2 linked regions of the Lonchura striata genome follow. The main gene of each other region encodes a partner of the protein of the gene in region 2 in a complex. Links are inferred from orthologs where the notes say so. Each region holds a gene or a part of one and is shown on either strand. Other genes may lie near its edges.

Region 1 (8,935 bases), on a different chromosome or scaffold from region 2:
CGATGGCCCGCTCCACGTCCGTGAGCTCCTGGCAGTCCTGCGGGGGGCACGGAGGGCGAGTGAGCTCCGGGAGGGCGGGGACAGCTCCGTGCAGGGCTGGGACAGCTCCGTGCAGGGCTGGGACAGCTCCCGGAGGGCTGGGACAGCTCCCGGGTGGGGTGGGAGATCCCTCGGGGGCGACAGGACGAGCCCCGAGCGGGTGGGACGCTCCCCGAGCCAACATTTAACCCCTGCACAGCCCCGGCAAAAATCTCCTCGTCAGCACCTGGCCCGTCTGTGCAGATGTGAGGCACCCTCCCGTCCAGCTGTGACGCCCTCCCGTCCAGCTGTGACACCTCCCCATCCAGCTGTGAGCCCCCCTGCCCTCTGTCCCCACACATCTGCACCCAGATGTGAGACCGTACAGATGTTTTGCCCCACATCCAGCTGTCGCACCCCTCCGCAGCGGCTCTGCCCGGCTGTGACAGCCCCTCCAGCTGCCACCGCCTGTCCCCCCGAGCTGTCACCCCCCAGACGCGCTGTCCCCGCCCGGGGCCGCCAGGCTCAGCCACCCCGGCGTCTGTCGCCACCCCCGGCGCGGGCCCGTCCCGACTGGTTCTTCCTCTCCTCCGCACGGGTGGCGGTGGCAGCGTGAGTCAGTGCCCGCCGTGCCGCCGGCCTGGGGCTCCCGGAGCCCCTCTGCCACCCCCAGAGCCCGTGCCCGACGGGGCGGGGGGCGCAGAGCAGCCCGACCCCGCTCCCGGTAGCTCCCGGCCGCTCCCGGTAGCTCCCGGCCGCTCGTGCGGCTCCGTTTAAGGGAAAAGACGGTGATTCACTCAAATCTGCGGCTTCCCCTCGGAACGCCGTGCAACCACAGCCGGTGATGCCCACTGGGCAGAGCCTGGCAACCTCCAGAGCCTCAGCCCGGCGCCCCAAATCCTCCACAGGTGCCAGGCGCGGCGCGGTGGGCGCGTCCCGTTTGGAAGCCGAGGAGAGCAGGAGCTCGGCCGCCTTCGGGCATCCTCGGAGGGGCTGCGAGGAGCGCGGGCGGCTGCCCAAGGTCCATCCGCGGGAGCAGACGGAGCTCCTGCTTCCCCGGGCTTCCAAGCGGCTCCGCAGCGGCCGTGCCCGGCGCTGCCGAACCCCAGAGCTGCCGAACCCCGGCTCCTCCGGGGCGCCCCGATTGACGCCGCGCCCCGCGCCCCGGGGCCGTGCGGGGTCACCCCCGCCCCGCCGGGGGTCCCGGTGCCGCGGTGTCCCCGGTGCCGCGGTGTTCCCGGTGCCGCGGCGTCCCCGCCGCACCTTGCGCTTCTTGCGGCAGTTGCACTGGCCCATCCTGCTGCTCGCGGCTCCTCGGGGGTCTCTCCCTCTCTCTCCGGGGGTCTCTCCTCTGCCGCGGGGTCCGGGGGAGCTGGCGGGGCAAGGAAGCCAAGCTCAGCTCTCGGCTCGGGGGGAGCTTCGCCTCCTCCAGCGCCAGGACTCCTCCTCATCCCCGAGCGGAGGGCGAGGAGGGAGCCCCGGGATGCGGCGCCGGAGCTGCCGGGACACGTCCCCGGCGTCCTCGCAAGTCGTGGCAGGGCCGAGCGTGGGAGCGGAGGGGCCCGCGGGGGGAGCAGCCCCCCGTGCCGTGGGGCGGCCGGGCCACTTACCTGCAGCACGGCTGTCCCGGGTGTGCGCGGGCTGCGGCGGGCCGGGGTTTTATACCGGGGAGGTGTGAGTGGGAGCTCCGTGGTGCAAGGCGTCTCATTTGGGAGCCTGGCCCGGCGCCAGCGTGGGGCCGGGAAACGCCTCCTTCCCGGCCACACTGACGGTTCCCCATCCGAGCGGGCCGTGGGAACGGCACCGGGCCCGGCTGCTCGCCCAGAGCGGGATTCCAGCAGCCAGCAGCGCCGGGATTCGGGAGCTGAGCGCTGCGAGCGGGGACATTCCCCGGCCGGGATGCGCTGGTGGATGTGTCACCCCCCGCCACCCAAGACCCTGCAGAGGACGGCGCTGATGCCACGGAGCTGGCGGCCACCGTGGCCAGCGCGGCATCGCTGCCGGGGATCTCCCGAGCCCCACCCCGGCCACAGCCACGGCTCTGCCCCCCACGCACCCCCCAGCGTGGCAGGAAGGTGTTTGTGGGGCGCAGGGTGGCACCCCAAAAGCCAGACCAGCGCAAGGGCAATTTGGGAATGGCCCCGTCCATCCCGGGGTGCCCAGAGCCACGGAGTGACCCCAAGCCAGCACGCCTGGGCTGGGCCGGCCCCAGCGTGGCCACCACGGGGGAGGAGGAGATGGGGGCTCAAATCAGGAGCCCCCCACCAAGAACAGCAGCGATGCTCAGGCTCAGGGAAACCTCTTTTATTTGCCGCACGTCGGCCGAGTCCCCGCAGCGGCCCCGTCACTTCTTCCCCGCTTTGTCCCTCCGCACGGCCTTGGCCAGCTCCCCGATCAGCCGCCAGTACTCCCCAAATCTCAGCTCCTCGTCGTTGTTCACGTCCAGCTCGCTCATCTTCTCCTCCAGCGAGGGCACGTCCTGCGGGCAGCACCCGCCAGGGAGGCTCGGCCGCTCGCCAGCCCCCAGAGAGCGGGACGGGCACGACTGCAAACCCCCGGGGCACCGGGAGCAGCCCCACGGGTCAGGGGGACCCCCGGGGACCCCGCGCTGCTGCTGCGGCTCCCCTCACCTTCATCAGGTTGGGCAGCTGGAGCCGCACCAGCTCCTTGAACTCGCCGGCCGTCAGCGTCCCCTTCCTGCCCTCCTTGGCGGCGAAGGTGACGAACACGGTGACGATGCGCTCGATGGCCGCCTCCAGCTCGGTCAGCTCGCTCGGCTCGCTCGGCTCGGGCAGCTCGGCCGCGGCCATGGCACCGGACACGCCGCTAGCCCGGGGCTGCAGGGACAGGAGCCCAGAGGCGGTGGGAGGCAGAGGGGTGTCCCAAGGGGAGACCCTCGCCCCCTCCCCAGCCCAGCGAAGGCTCAGCTCAGCCCCGAGGGTCCCGGGGCTTGTGCAGGACTCGGCGAGGGGCAGCGGGTCCCGGGGATGACGCCGCTGCCGCCCGATCCCGGAGCGGGGACACGGGGAGGGGACAGCGGGACATCAGCGGTCCCCAGCGGCGCGGCCGCGGCCGGGGTGCGGCCGGAGCTGCGGAGAGCGATGCCCACTTACCCCCTGGCTGCGGGCAGCTGGTGGCCCCCGGGAGGTTTCGAGGGGTTCGGGAGGTCTGGGGCGTTCTCAGGAGGTTTTATAGCCGCGCCGCAGGAGGGGACAGTGGGGACAGCGCAGCCTTTGTCCCCCCCGCGCCGGTGTTGGGTTTCCTGGCGCGGCCGGACGGACGCGCAGTCACCGCCCGGGCGCCGCCGTCCGTCCGTCCGTCCGTCCGTCCGTCCCGCCGTCCTCTGCTCCCTCCCCGCCCGGGCACAGGACCAAGCTCGGCCTGAGCTCGCTGCGGCCTCGGCCCGGGCACCTCCGGTGGGGACAGGAGGGGACCGCGGGCAGAGAACGGCCCCGGGGCTGGAGCATCACCGCGACCTTGCACAGAAACACCCCCGGGATCGTTTTGGTTGGAAAAGACCCCCGAGATGATTGAATCCAAACTTTGAGCCCCGTTCCGGGGGTGCAGGGCAGGTGTCACCCCCAGCTCCCTCCCTGCAGGGCTGGGGACAAGGAGGTGTCCCCGGAGCCCCGGTCACATTCCGGTGACATCCCTGTCACATCCCGGCTCCGGCAGCGTCACCGAGCCAGGGCCCGGCTCGGCCCGCACCGAGTGAGAGTTGTGACTCAGCCGCCTGTGACATCATCCCTATTAATAGTGGGCTCTGTAAAAATTAATTAATCCCAATTAATTAGGGTGTTGGAATGGCCCGAGTGCTCCCCTTTAGTTAGTGGCTGTTTCTAACATGGCTGGGGACACCGAGCAGCTCCCGGGGGCACCCCCCTTCCCACGGGGACCCCAAGGGGACCCCGGACACAGCCTCAGGACTGTCCCCGACGTCCCCAGCCTCACCCACGGCTGTGACAAACAGCAAGGCTGCAGCCAGCAGCCCCCCGGGGCAGCACGCGGGAATTTGGGGTGCCAAAGCCCCCGCGGTGTTTTGGGGGCCGAGGGCACGGGGGTCCCCGGCACAGCGTCACCGTCACCGGCCCGGTCTGTGCCGAGCCCTGAGGCAGCAGTAGGGATGGGGTGGCCCTGTCCCCACCCCGCAGCCGTCACACCAGCTCACGGGGCAGGAATTGGCTTCCTGCAGCCCCATCCGGCCCCGGGGTGACCGGGGGACGGGGCTGGGATGTTCACCGAGCCCCACGTCAGGGCCCGGGATGGCCTCTTGGGAAAGCGGCAGGTGAGTCAGGCCCGGCAGGGACCGGGACAGGTTTGGGGTGAATCACCGGCCCCGCAGCCAGGCGGGCCCGTGACTCCCTGGCCCTGGAATTCGGGGAGCCGGGATGGGGTGAGGAAGGGGCAGATGCAGCCGTGGCCCCACAGCAGGAGGGACACGGGAAAGGCACCCCCAGGTCTTTAATCAGCCTGGGATCCCCGTTGGGACCGGCCCCATGGGCAGGGGTGCGGACCCGGCCTCGGGGACCCCAGCATGGCGAGGAGGGACCATGGAGGGGCTGAGAGTGGGAGCAGAGAGGGACTGGGACCATAACGGGGCTGAGAGTGGGAGCAGAGAGGGACTGGGACCATAACGGGGCTGAGAGTGGGAGCAGAGAGGGACTGGGACCATAACGGGGCTGAGAGTGGGAGCAGAGAGGAACTGGGACCATAACGGGGCTGAGAGTGGGAGCAGAGAGGGACTGGGACCATAACGGGGCTGAGAGTGGGAGCAGAGAGGGACTGGGACCATAACGGGGCTGAGAGTGGGAGCAGAGAGGGACTGGGACCATAACGGGGCTGAGAGTGGGAGCAGAGAGGGACTGGGACCATGGAGGGACTGAGGCCATGTAGGGACAGCGATGGGGGCCATATAGGGTCAGGGACCGTGTGGGAACTTGGACCATATAGGGACAGGACCATATAGGGACTTGGGCCATATAGGGACAGGACTTGGGCCATATAAGGACAGGATCATATAGGAACTCGAGCCATACAGGGTCAGGGACAGAACCATATAAGGACTTGGGCCATATAGGGACAGGAATGGGATCGTACAGGGACTTGGGCTATACAGGAATAGGAATGGGATCATTCGGGACTCGGGCCATATAGGACCACAGGACCCCGTGTGACAGGGTGACCATGTGCAGGGGCTCAGTGTCCACTTCCACATCCTGGTCCTGGGGTTCTCCACAGCCGGTGTGGCCCCACCAGGGATGGTGACCGTGTCCAGCGCGGTGCCCAGCCCGGCAGTGGCCCCTGCTGGCCCCATCGGGGCTCGCTGCAGGGACCCAGGGGCCGCGGCAGGAGCCCGGAGCCACCGCGGGGTCCCCAGCGCGGCCACCGCAGCTCCTCCCTCTCCAAAGCCTCTTCCAGAGCCCCGGCGATGGGATGGGGAGACAAGATGGGCCCAGCCCAGCACCGGGAACTGGAGCGACTGGTTTAGCTGGGTCAAAGTGGAGCAGGGGAGTCGCAGTGGCTGAAACCTGTTCCAAGCTGTGTGTAAAGCTCCTGGCATGTCCCTCACTGCTCCCGCTTCCCAGAGCTCGTCCTGGGAATCTGCCAGCCGTGCTGGGCGCGCTCTGCCCCGGCCGCAGGGTCCGGGACCCCCCGGGACCCCTCGGGACCCCCCCAGTGCTGGGGTTCGCCCTGGGGCTGCTGTCCCGAAGGGTTTGGGGGTCCCGCTGTCCCTCGGACACTGCGGCCGTGCCGCTGCCCGCAGTCCTGGCCCTGTCCCCTCTGTCCCCTGGCAGGGACCGGGGTCGGGGTTATTTTTGGGCAATGCCCGTCCCTGTCACGAGCAGCTGCTGGCCCGGTGACTCTCCCGGGCGTTCCCGGAATCCTGCCCGCCGCTCGGGGACCGGGACACGGCGAGTGAGTGCCACGGGCCCCTCCCAGTGCCCCCATGCCCAGCCTCGGGATTTGGGGATCCGGCCCCTCCCGGAGCCCCAGGGATGGAGCCGGGTCCTGCTGGGAGGCAGCTCCTGAGCCGCCCTTTGGGATCCCTGCTCCTCTCTGGAACTCGCAATTCCAGCTGGGACCCCTCCTCTGCTTGGGGACCCCCCAGTTTCCCCATTCCCTGGGCGCTGGGGAGGGTGCCCAGGCAGTTTTGGGGTGCCCAGGCAGGGCCCATCCTCAGCCGCAGGGACGGGAAGTGAGGGAGGTGGAAGCAGAGGCAACAGGATGTAATTAGCCCCAAATTAGGGCTGGAACCCGGCATGAGGAGCCCGGCACCACCCGGCCCTGCTGAAAATGCAGCTCCTGTTTGAGGGGGTCCCAATCCTGAGGGAGGCTGAGGGATCTGGGGGCTGAAGCACTTGGGGTTGAGGAATTGGGGTGATCAGGAATCTGGGGGATCAGGAATTCGGGGGATCAGGAATTTGGGGACTGAAGCATTTGGGGGCTGAGGAATTTGGGGGCTGAAGCATTTGAGGGATCAGGAATTTGGGGGATCAGGAATTTGAGGGCTGAGGAATTCGGGGGCTGAGGAATTCGGGAGCTGATCTCCCCGGGGATGCCGGAGCCGGGCAGGCTGCGGGCTCCATCCCGCGCGGATCCGGGGCCGTAACGGGATCCGCGGATTATCAGCATCACCCGGGCCGGCTCGGAGTCCGGTTTCCTGGCCGAGGCGTTGCTGCAGCAACGCCGGGCTCGGGATTGTGGGGCCTTTTCAGCCGGACAAGAGTCCTTTGAGCGCGGGGGGCCCCCGCGGAGTCACCCGATAGCCCCCGCCGCTCCCCCCGGGCCCCGCCGGCCCCGCGGCCGCTCCGAGGACACCGGATCCCTTCATCGGCCCCGGGAGCGGGGCTGGCCGCGGCCCCGGCCCCGCGGCGCTGACGGACGGGGGATGCCGGCGGTGCCCCCGCGGGGTCACGGCGTGGCCACCGCGGCCACCGGCGGGGGCGCCGGGCACTGAGCCCGGCGGGGGACCCCGGTGCCCGTGCCGGTGCCCGTGCCGGTGCCGGTGCCGGTGCCAGTGCCCGTGCCCGTGCCCATGCCGGTGCCGGTGCCGGTGCCCGTGCCGGTGCCCGTGCCCATGCCGGTGCCCGTGCCGGTGCCCGTGCCGGTGCCCGTGCCCGTGCCGGTGCCCGTGCCCGTGCCGGCCCTCCCTACATCCCCGGTTTTTCCACATCCCGGGGGCGGCGAGGGGCGCTCGGGGGTGGCACGGGGAGCCCCCCTGAAGTGGGGCTGTCTCCCCAGCCGTGTCCCCGGGGCCAGGCCGGGGTTGTGCCCCCCACGCCCGGCCCCGCGGGGCTGGCCGGCGGTGCCAGCCGGGCTGCCCAGCCCCGGTATCGGATCCTCCCGGAGGGAGGGGGCTTGGAGCTTATTTAACGGGCCCGGCCGGGCCGGGCGGGCGCACTCGGAGCACGGGGAGCTCAGGTGAGCACAGGTGTCCCCGTCCCCCCCAAACCTCCCCGCCCAGCCCCTGGGAACCCCCCCAGTCCTGCCCAGGGGGACCGCGGCCGCGGGTGGGTGACATGTGGGGGTGGCACCGAGACGGGGGGGCCGGTGGGTGACGTGCTGGGGGTCCCGCAGCCACAGCCATGGGATCGCAGCTGGAAGGGGCCATGGAGACCCTGATCAATGTGTTCCACCACTACTCGGGCAAGGAGGGGGACAAGTACAAGCTGAGCAAGAAGGAGCTCAAGGAGCTGCTGCAGAGCGAGCTGGGATGTTTCCTGGAGGTAACTGGGACCAGTTTGGGGTGCGGGGGTCTCCCTTTCCCCGTTCCCCGGGGGAACAGCGGCTGCCCAGCCCCAGGGCTCACCCTGTGTCCCCCCCAGACCCAGAAGGACGCGGGGGCCGTGGAGAAGATCATGCAGGACCTGGATGAGAACGGCGACGGGGAGGTGGATTTCCAGGAATTTGTGGTCCTGGTGGCCGCTCTGACCGTGGCCTGCAACAACTTCTTCTGGGAGAACGCCTGACCCCCCTCCTGCCGCAGCAGGACGTGGGCTCCCAAAATCCAGAGCCCCCCCGCCACCCTCCGGCTCACCCCCTCAGCATTCCCAGGGGATCCCACTGGGATCCAGCTGCACAATAAAGGCACAACCCTGCCCGAGGTGTGTCCGTGTGCGTCAGCTCCTTCCTTCATTCCTGCTCGGGATTCCTGCCCCATCCCCTGGGAATATCCCACTCTGGGCGCACAGGGAAAAGCCAGCCTGGGTCACCCCAGAAGCCTGGAGACAGCCCTGGCTCCACCCCAGGATCCACCCTGGGATCCACCCGGGATCCACCCTGGGATTCACCCTGGGATCCGCCCCGACCGCCCGGGGCAGGGTGACCCCAGGGCGGGGGATCCCGGCCGGTGTCAGGGTGTGGGACACGGGAGCCCCGGGATTTGGGAAGGGGGTGACAGGCCGGGACTCGCTGCCGGTGGCTCCGGAGGCGCCAGCACTGCTCCCGCGGGGCTGGAGGAACCGGTTGGGATCTCCCAGCCCACTGGGATGGGACGGTGGCCAAGGGCCCCACCAGGGCCACCAGCGCCATCATCTGCCCGCCATCCCGGCTTGGGATCGGCCCTGCCTGGGTGGGATGGACATCGGGACAGGGGCACGGGACAGGGGTCAAGGAGCAGCTGGGCAGTGCTCCCAGGGACATGGTGGGACACCAGGAGTGTCATGGGCAGGGGACTCCACGGTCCTTACAGACCCCTTCCAACTCCGCAACTCCCTAACGCCTGGATCCTATATGATTCCACAGCTGAGCATTTTGTGATTCCATAATTCCAAGATTCCATGGAGCTGACAGAGGAGCTGATAAAGCTGACACAATTCCGTGGGACGTGGGGATCCCAGCACCGCGTGACTCCGTGACTCCACAGCTCCATGACTCCACGGTTCCTTGACCCCCCTGACTCCCTCATCCCACGGTT
Region 2 (9,283 bases):
AAAAGGCCCACACGAACAGATTAAGCTTAGAAACACTGCGTAGACACTAAAGCTCATAATTTCACCTGCATCTACCTAGGACCTCTTAGTACCACAGTACCAGCAGATAAAGCTTAAAAAAACTCTTGAGATCTTAATTAGTAATTAATGGCCTTCAGCCACAACTTCTTGCAGAGCAAACATGGCATAAGCCACTATTTTCACTGAAAGTAGGCACACCTGTCCTGGCTTCCTCTCTCCTGCTTGCACAAGCCCTTGTACAACAGCACAATGAGCAAAATCAGGTAAGTTATTGCTCAGGTCCCTGAGCTGGTTCACTACACAGCTCCACACATGTGCTTGCAAAAAACCCACAAAAATACTTTTAAAATGTGAAACAACCCTTAAACTTCTCAACTATTACCTTACTTGCAGAATGTCACTTTGATTCAATCTTTTTCCTCCTTGAACTGTTAAAGGCACCCATTATAAAAACAAACTAAATATTGGTTCCCTAACTTAATTTGGCAAAAATTCCTATCCTTTACAATTATCCAAGTTCACCAGACACTTAAAGCTCTCTTGCATCCTCAATATGGTGTCATTATTCAAATACAGGATACTACCAGAGTTTCCCTTTCCAACAACTTCTATGATGTATCTATGGAATGAAAAGCTGGAAGATTTAGTGCTTGGGAGCACTGTTTGAAATTAGGGTGTTTAAGAAGCACGCATTTAATGAAAAATATCTAAAAATAACCAAAGAACACATTTACACATTTCTTTGCATTTGAAACTACAAAAGAAATTCTCTGAGCATGCTAGAGCTCTTGAACTGACAAGAAAACAGCTTTCACAACTGAGGGTAGCAATATAGTCACTGTTTGGGCCCCTGCTTCTTGACATGGCCCAGATTTCAGACAAGGGTCTCCAGGAGAGGTGGTTCAAGTTAAAATGTCCTGGGAGAGCACTTAGCTGCCTCATTGGCAGTGTTGAACCTTCATGAGATCCCAAGTGACCAGCCCAGGCAGCTTTCAGATCATTAACAGAACACAACTATTCAGAGCTGGATAATGGAAAAGTTGTCAGTTCCCAACTTTCTAACCTAAATGTTGCATTTTGGATTGCAGGCAGCATTTGTCTGCTTCCTCAAGTACCTACCATCTCCTCTTTACTCCTACCAACTCCTCTTCCATGTAAACATGAATTTGCATTATACTGAGATAAATGCCACAAAGTTCACTCTTCAAAAAAGACACAGAGAGGCAAGAGGACCTTCTTCTATGGCTGCTTATTAAAGCAACTTAGATCAGCTCCTTTGAATTAGAAGAATGCAAACTTATCTGCGTTACACACATTATCTTAATCACCAATCCCCACACTCCTGGTACCTCTTGCTGAAGTCAAGGCACCACACACAGCTCAATGCTCAAGCCAAAGCAATATAAAGAATGCAAAACAAAGCTAACCTATATATTATTAAAGCACTTACAAAGAACAAGGGTAAGACAGGCTCCAAGGTTCTATCACCAGTGCATTTTATCAAATGACCAATAATGCTGCTTTTGGTTGGGGCAGAACTAATTCTCGTAACAGTTGCTGGTAGAAGACTGTGTTTTGGATTTGTGCTGAACACAGTGTTGATCACAGCTGTTTGTGCTGCTGCTGAGCAGGGCTTACACAGCCAAGGCCTTTTCTGCTGTTCATACTGACACACTGGCAAGGAAGCTGGGGGTGTGTGGGAGACTGGGAGGACACACAGCCAGAGCAGGTGACCCTGACTGACCAAGGGATATTCCACACCACACCAAATCATACCCAGTATATAAAGTGGGGGAAGAAGGAGGAAGGGTGGGAGATTTTTGGAGTGATGACATTTGACTTCCCAAGTCACCATTACATGTTATGGGGGACTCTGTTCTCCTACAGATGGCTGAATAGCTGCCTGCCCATGGGAAATACTGAATTAATTCCCTATTTAGCTTTGCTTGCATGCACAACTTTTGCTTTCCTTCTTAAATTATATTTACCTCAACCCATGAGTTTTCCTACTTTTACCCTTCCAATTCTCTCCCCAATCCCACTGGTGGGGCACTGACTGAGTGGCTGTGTGGGGCTTAGTGGCATGCCTGGGGTTAAACCATTACACCAATTAATAGGGTCCTGGATCAGCCCTGAAAAGCGAGTATTTAGTTGTGTGATTTCAGCATGACTATCAGTGGGCTGACTCCCAGCTCAAGATGAAGGAACAGCATTTCTTGATTCATTGACTTCATGTGAACAGGACTGCTTACCCCTGCCAAGGCCAGGTTAGCTCTGGGCAAGCAGAGAAACAAGACTTATAGACATCTGGAGTTGTGAAATAACAGGTCCATAAGTTTTAGGCAGGCAGCAGCTATAGAAGCAAAATTAAGCAAAACATGGGTGCCCAAACTGCACCCTGAATGGCCACATGCTTTAAACTGGTAACACCTGTAAGGTGAGACATTGGGTCTATACTAAAACTGGAGCACTACCTCATTTTCAGCTGTTTTGGTAATATAGATCTGGTTTTGCTTATTTTTTTCACTATCAGTAAAAACGATTCTTATAAAATTAGCTACACTATAAGTAATATTAATTCAAAAGCATTCAGATGTCCTCACGACAGACCAACCTAGACATTACTTTTTACAAACATTTTACAAGTAAATTAAATTTCTCACTGATAGTTTTTTGTGTGAAAATTCATCATAGATGAAACATTTTATAGAACAGATAGACAATCATGCACATTTGCAATGAATACCTCATCAAGTATAAAGTATATTCATGTTTACAAAAGCAAAAAAATCTAATGTGTTTTCAGAAGTTGAGAGTGTATCAGCTAAGACACTGTATTTTGCTAACCTGCCTTTGTAAAGCCAATTTAAAAGTAATCCCATTTTCCTTCAGCAGTTAAACTGAATTAACTTCTCTGTGATGAGTATCTGATAAAGCCATTATTTCCCCAATTCATACATACAGAAAGCCCATATAAAAGAATTAAATCCAGTAGTCTCACTTAACACATTAGAATTGAAAAGCAGTTACAGATATATTGCCACTGAATTTTTGCAGAAATAAATGCTCTAAAGGAGGCTTCTGTTTTTCAAACCCAGACTGATACTGAAGGATAAATGAATGTACCTCCATAAGCCTCTATGAGATTAAGATCTCCCCCTTTTGGCAGCAAAAAGCCTCAGCTATCACTTGGGAAAGCACAATTAAAACAAAGGGGCACTCTGTATAAAATATGATGTTCACAGGCAACTAAAAAAAGATAAATTAAAAATGCACATAACCTGTAATATAAAGTGACAAGCAAAAAGTTAAACTGCTCTTTAGTCAAACTGAGATAGGAAGTTGTATCTGCTGAAAATAATTTTAAGAAAACCGATCAGGTGCATTTACAACCAATGCTGATTATTCAATGCGCCGAGGTGTCTAAAAATTGATTTGAGCAAGCCAAAACAGAAACATCATAATATCTTAAGAATCCAAACGACAAAACGTTTTTCCATTCAAGAGTACTTCACCCTTACACATAGTACAAGAAACTTAGGTATGTATCAGCAAGTAACAAAAAATTGCTACAGTTGAGTCTTCCTTTAGAAAACTCGAAGACATAAAACACCTGAAGTTTCTCCACTTATTACTGTAGTTACTCCCAAAACACTACCTAAAGTTTAAGATAGTGTTTTATTGATGTAGATTTGAGTCAGTTTTCAGCTTCAGGTCTTCAGAGTAGCAAGGAACTATAAACTTCAGACTTCACTAACCCAGAACATCTGATCACCAATGGTTTACTTCCACAATTCAAGTGAAGTCAAATGCTACCCCATTACATCAGTTAAAAGTTTATCAAATCTACAAGCATATTGATTTTATAAAGTAAACTATGTCAATTAAGGTAAAAATTCGTACAGAGAAGCCTAGCAAAAGAGAAAAGGACAGGATTGATGTATGTGATGAATATTAGGCATTATGCCTAATTCTTTATTCTGCTAGGGATTAAAACAGTTGGTCTAGCAACAAATTCCTACACTCAGTTACAACAATATTTGTAGTTTTCAGACTACCCTAGCAAAGAGCAACGTAGTAATGTATAGAATAGTGGCAGTTATTCTAAATCTATTTTTTTCCATACTTCTGCCTTTACTTCACAATTTAATTTTTCTCAATGCATGATACCCATCAGGTACATGAGAGAAATCCTACTCTATCTTTTCCAGCCTAAGACATTCTGAAGTTTATTTTATTTTTAAGAAGTTATAGATAGTGGCTTCAAATGCTCCGAGATCACTCTTCCTGTTCCTGCCACATGAGAAGTGACACTGGTTGGAGAAGCCCGACCTTGTGTGCTGTATGTGCCTATATATGGTCAAGGAGAAGTGTTCCCACTGCAGGGCTTCTCAGTGCCACTGTCAGCCCTGCCAAGGCAGCTCACTCCTTGGACTCTGCTAGGGTGCATCTAACAGTAACAGAGACATTAAAACTCTCCCTCTTTCATTTTTCTTTCCCCCTTTTTAACTCAACTGAAGGACAGGTATTTCAGAGTTTTGTTTGTTAGGCACCCTGACAGCTCACTCCTTCAATCAACATCCATGCTGCACAGAAAAAACATGCTGATAAGTAGGATACTGTGAAACCATATACTCACCCTTATTCTTTCCTATATATCCCCTATTTCAAATTCAGAAATTCAGCTGTGAACTCGTTGCAGGAGGGAGACCCACCCCTTCCTTTACACTCCTAATAGGTTAAAGTTCACTGCTCCACAGCAGTAAAAATGAAATAGTGAAATAGATACTAAAAACCCCTTTTTACCTAAGAGAAAGTAAGAAGAGAGAGGGCATGCAAAAGATTCCCACAATAATTCCCACTCAAAGACAACTTTGTTGTTAATCACAGGGGAATAAAAATAGCTTCTCAAAGTTACTTTTATTACTGTTACAGCAGGCTCAAAGCATTGTATATCATGCATTTGCATTCAGGATTCCTGAGGGTACCCTAGCTATCTTACAGCATACAATAAATCTCCCACTCAGAGAAACCTGTGTTTGGCAAAAAAAAGATACTGAGATATCACATCACATCTCTCTCTAGCAGAGACTAGAGAGCTCTGCTCTCAGTCATGCCTTCTGTATAGTTCTTGTTAAAAACCTGTCTGCAGGCAACTAAACAAATGGGTTTGTCCTGTCCCAATTAAATTAGCTACAGGGTTTTCTCACAATTAGCTCATAGTCACATAAATAAATATTAACACAGACATCAGTTAAATGAGGCAAATTTGTATTCTCTCAAGTCTGTAAGTCACACTCAAATTAAGCGATACAGACTGTACTCACTGAAGTGATACTGGACATAACACTTACCTAGTTTTACTTAGTTCTGAGTTTCATTCAAACAAACTTGTGATTTGAGTTCAGCTTGAGCTGTAACATTATTTTTCAATATGCAGCTTTATTTTTCCTTATAAAGCAAAACTTCTCTGACATCTACCACTCGAAATGAATTTTGCATTGACAATAAAACACATCAAGGAGCACAGTCTAAGGTTCAAATATTTGCAGGATACAATGTTTGGTGCTGTAGCCAAACATCAACATAGTTTTTGACTTTGTAAACCTTTTGGTGTTTCAAGAAAATGTAACTGGCTTCCCCTTTGGAGAGCCAGATATTCGGTAGTACTGGCTCCAATTGCTCATTAAATCTTTAGGTTAGATACTTCCCAGAATGTTACACCACTATTTTTACAAACTCCTATGTATCATCAGTGCTCATCTATTTCTGTGAGTATTCAGACAAGCAAATTGATCTAGCTAAAGGAAGGTGGCAAGAAGATAACAACCAATTTAGCTAAAAAAGAGCTTTAAATAATTATTATTGCTTCCTGCTGTTGACAGTTTAGTGAGGCTAAAAAGCCTTCAAACAGCTGGACAAGCTCCGAGAATTAAACTGTGAGAAAGTAATTACCCCATGTCAGCAGCAAACTGCCTTCACTGTATCTCATAAACCTCACCATACCCACAGGTATAACTTCAAACAGCAAAACAGCATCCCAAAACATGCATCATTTCACATAAACATGGAACAAAGGCAACGACTCTGGTAGAGAGGGAATGAATATAAATGTAGTGCTGCAACTGCCTTCCTACCAAGCTCAACTGAAAATTCACTGCAGTAACCAGTTCACTTCTGCTTCTAGAAGAGCTAAGGAAAAACACTGTAAAAATGTGGTTCTGTGGCACAGGAAAGGAGGGGCACATTCCATACCTATGGCTTTGATTGAACAGACATTTCCTTAACTGTAATGCCTAAAGCTACACTGCATCTGGAGAACATGTGTTTGCCCCAAATGTTTTCAATACACAAGTATTTAAGAATATGTAACGGTACCAGCCCTTCACAGTGCTGCAAAAAATAAATCTTACACAATGTGTGATAATTTAGCTTCATTCTTACCTGATGATCTGACTTCAATAATGAGATCTATTTTCACAAAAATAACCACTTTGAAAGGTGGTGGATGCTTCACTGTAGGACCTTTCAGCGGAAGAGTATCTAAATATCATAAAAGTCTCTATCTTAAAATCACTTTACACACCACATCATATTAGGAAAATTTTAAAAAACCCAAACTCCTGTAAGTTGGTGCGTCAGCCACAGATAGCAAAAAAGAATATGAAAGCAAAGGATGTTATTTGAGTAATACACAAGACTAACCATAAAAAAGTAAGAGAAGACGAATCTCCCCCATGTTATTCTGTAGTTATTCTTATTACTCCTAAGCATATAAAATTGGAAACCTTTTATTATATAGATATTTATACACAGCTATTTATATATATTTTTATAATGTATGTATTTCTATACAACTATTTATAATTATATATATATATATACACAATTGTAGTCAAGCAACTGCATACTTAAGCTTATGGACCAGACAGACAACAGATAAACAACATAAAAAAAATTACTTCCTTGCAAAAAAATTATTTCCTTGCTGTCATTCACTGAAAAAGTAGTAAAATTTTACATTTCATGAAAAGCAGAAGCATTAAGTTTTATTTGAGATGTACATGGTAAAAGAAATTACTAACTAAGACTTCACAAAGAAACCAACAGTGTCATCTCCACATAAAAATCCAAGATGTCCTGTTACACGGACATGAACACACATGATCCTCAGTTGCAGCATCAAGGCCTCTCTTTCTCATCAGTCTTTACAAAGTGGTATCCACCGTAAGCTAAAAAGCACTTGGTCCATATTTGCAAAATATTCTTCTACTACAAAGCCCAAGCTTTTAAAGTGATTCTTCTTCCTACACTGAGATACTCCAAGGACATTAAGCCCACAGATTCAATAGCTGTGGCGAGAGAAAAGGAACGTAACAGACCTTGCTGAAAATGGATAGAATATGATACCACTGTAACTGTTGTCTGCCCCTGCCAATTCCAGCGTCTTACAATTCTCTCTCTAAGTTACCTATTCAAGGTTTTAATGCCTTCTGTCAAGCTAAGAAAGTACTGGAAGTATTTTACATTTCAGAAATTTGTTACTCAAGGATTAAAAAAGTTAATTGCTGCATGCTCAAAAGCCTGCTTTCATTTCTCAACAAGCACTTTAAACTCCTTTACATCCCACTTCCAGAGCCTGAAAATGAATAGTATACAGGGCTGTAAAAAATATATGGGTTTGCTAAATAATACAGCTAAAACCCTTTTCCTGTTCCTTTTTGACTGCCATAATTGAAACCAACTGAAAATAGAATTTCACAGCAGAACTGCAGGTTGAAGACTATTGGTAGAAGGTAGAACCATACCTATTATATCATAAAGTAATGTCTCCAGTTTCATCTCTGTATTTGCCAATAACTTGTCCTATTACTCTATTTTTGCTTCAATTTGTTTCTCTTATCTACTTGAGCTATGAGGTTTCCTAGGTAGCAAGCTTCTGCAAGAAGTTTTGAGAGTACAAAGACAGCAAGAAGGAGACCTGATGGTCCTCAGGCGCCACTACATTATCAATACCCAATACTCCTCAACATGGTAGAAGTCAAAATTCCCACAGGGTACCTGATTTCTTCAAACTAGTACTAAGGAAAAATATATGACCTGAAATCTTAGAAATCACTGATCTTTTATTTATAATAACAGGTTTCATTTGTATTCAAGCTGCAAGTAATTACTTTTCACTTGTCAAAACGACAAACAATTTGCTTTGCACAGTAATTCACTATGGAGGTACATGGTAAAAGACAAGCAGCACTGTACATAAGTTGCAACAATCATAAATTAGGATAAGTTTTTGACTGTGGGCTTAGACAAACCTTGCAACACCTCACCCAGAGGTACAGTCTCAGTTCCTAGAGACACCCAAAACTCAAAGGGCAAGTTCCTAAGCAACCTTATCTAAGCCAGCCCATTCTGACTAACCAGCATTTAAGTTTTTGACTGTGGGCTTAGACAAACCTTGCAACACCTCACCCAGAGGTACAGTCTCAGTTCCTAGAGACACCCAAAACTCAAAGGGCAAGTTCCTAAGCAACCTTATCTAAGCCAGCCCATTCTGACTAACCAGCATTTGAGTTACCTTCAGAAATTTCTTCCAGACAGTATGAGTGTAGAAGCAAACCAAGTAATTATTTGCAGTAACACATACAATATATGATCCCTTCTTCAGACAGTGTTTAATGGTTTCCCAAGGAAGTGATTCAAATATCTGTCCTTCAATCTCAATGGTATTGGTGTATTTTTAGTTAAAAAAAAAAAAAACCTAACTCAAGACAACATACTATCTTTACACACATTTTCATGTATATCCTGAGATGGACATAAAAATCTTAAATGTTGGAAGGCCTCCAACATTAAAAATTACATGTCAGTCTCTGAAAAGCACTCCTAACTTCCTCATTCTTACTAAAGAATTTCATCAAAATGTTATCAAGGATACTTGCAAGACTTAAAGTTTACTTTATAGATTACAGTGCAATTATACCCAAAAATGTTATTCAAATGCACCTCCTACTTATCTACAGTCTCCAAGTTTTATTTAACACAATTCTGAAAGTCAAAATGAATGATGTAGAGCACAGGAATTGCTTTAACACATGTAAATTAGAATAGTAACTTTTTTTTTTCCTGTCAAAATTTCTGCTAATGCTTTTGAAGCAGTTTTAGGAAAAAGGTTTATATTTGCATTGAGAAAAGTACCTGAGCCTTTCACATTGGTGGGCTTGTATACGTAACTGTAATCTGCTTCCAATGTATTATGCTC

Evidence for each region.
Region 1: the proteins of CAPZA2 (region 2) and S100A1 are in contact, whole or in part, in an NMR structure (PDB 2KBM), measured with the Rattus norvegicus proteins. The link is inferred for Lonchura striata from reciprocal best matches to the Homo sapiens genes CAPZA2 and S100A1. Residues at the interface, in NP_001009180.1 of Rattus norvegicus: Thr267, Lys268, Ile269, Asp270, Trp271, Asn272, Lys273, Ile274, Leu275, Ser276; in NP_001007637.1 of Rattus norvegicus: Ser44, Phe45, Leu46, Asp47, Lys50, Asp51, Ala54, Lys57, Ile58, Glu61, Leu78, Ala81, Leu82, Thr83, Ala85, Cys86.

The regions. Positions count from the first base shown.
Region 1 is NC_134635.1:3,150,433-3,159,367, reverse strand, and holds S100A1 (protein S100-A1), read left to right. Parts: upstream 1-5,723; 5' UTR 5,724-5,934; intron 5,935-7,596; 5' UTR 7,597-7,604; coding exon 7,605-7,745; intron 7,746-7,844; coding exon 7,845-7,988; 3' UTR 7,989-7,991; downstream 7,992-8,935. Other genes in the region: S100A14 (protein S100-A14), read right to left, coding at 1-37, 1,282-1,314; S100A13 (protein S100-A13), read right to left, coding at 2,363-2,497, 2,649-2,828. UniProt on the Homo sapiens protein: Small calcium binding protein that plays important roles in several biological processes such as Ca(2+) homeostasis, chondrocyte biology and cardiomyocyte regulation.
Region 2 is NC_134607.1:34,493,570-34,502,852, forward strand, and holds the start of CAPZA2 (F-actin-capping protein subunit alpha-2), read right to left. Parts: upstream 3,941-9,283; 5' UTR 3,154-3,940; coding exon 3,052-3,153; intron 1-3,051. UniProt on the Homo sapiens protein: F-actin-capping proteins bind in a Ca(2+)-independent manner to the fast growing ends of actin filaments (barbed end) thereby blocking the exchange of subunits at these ends.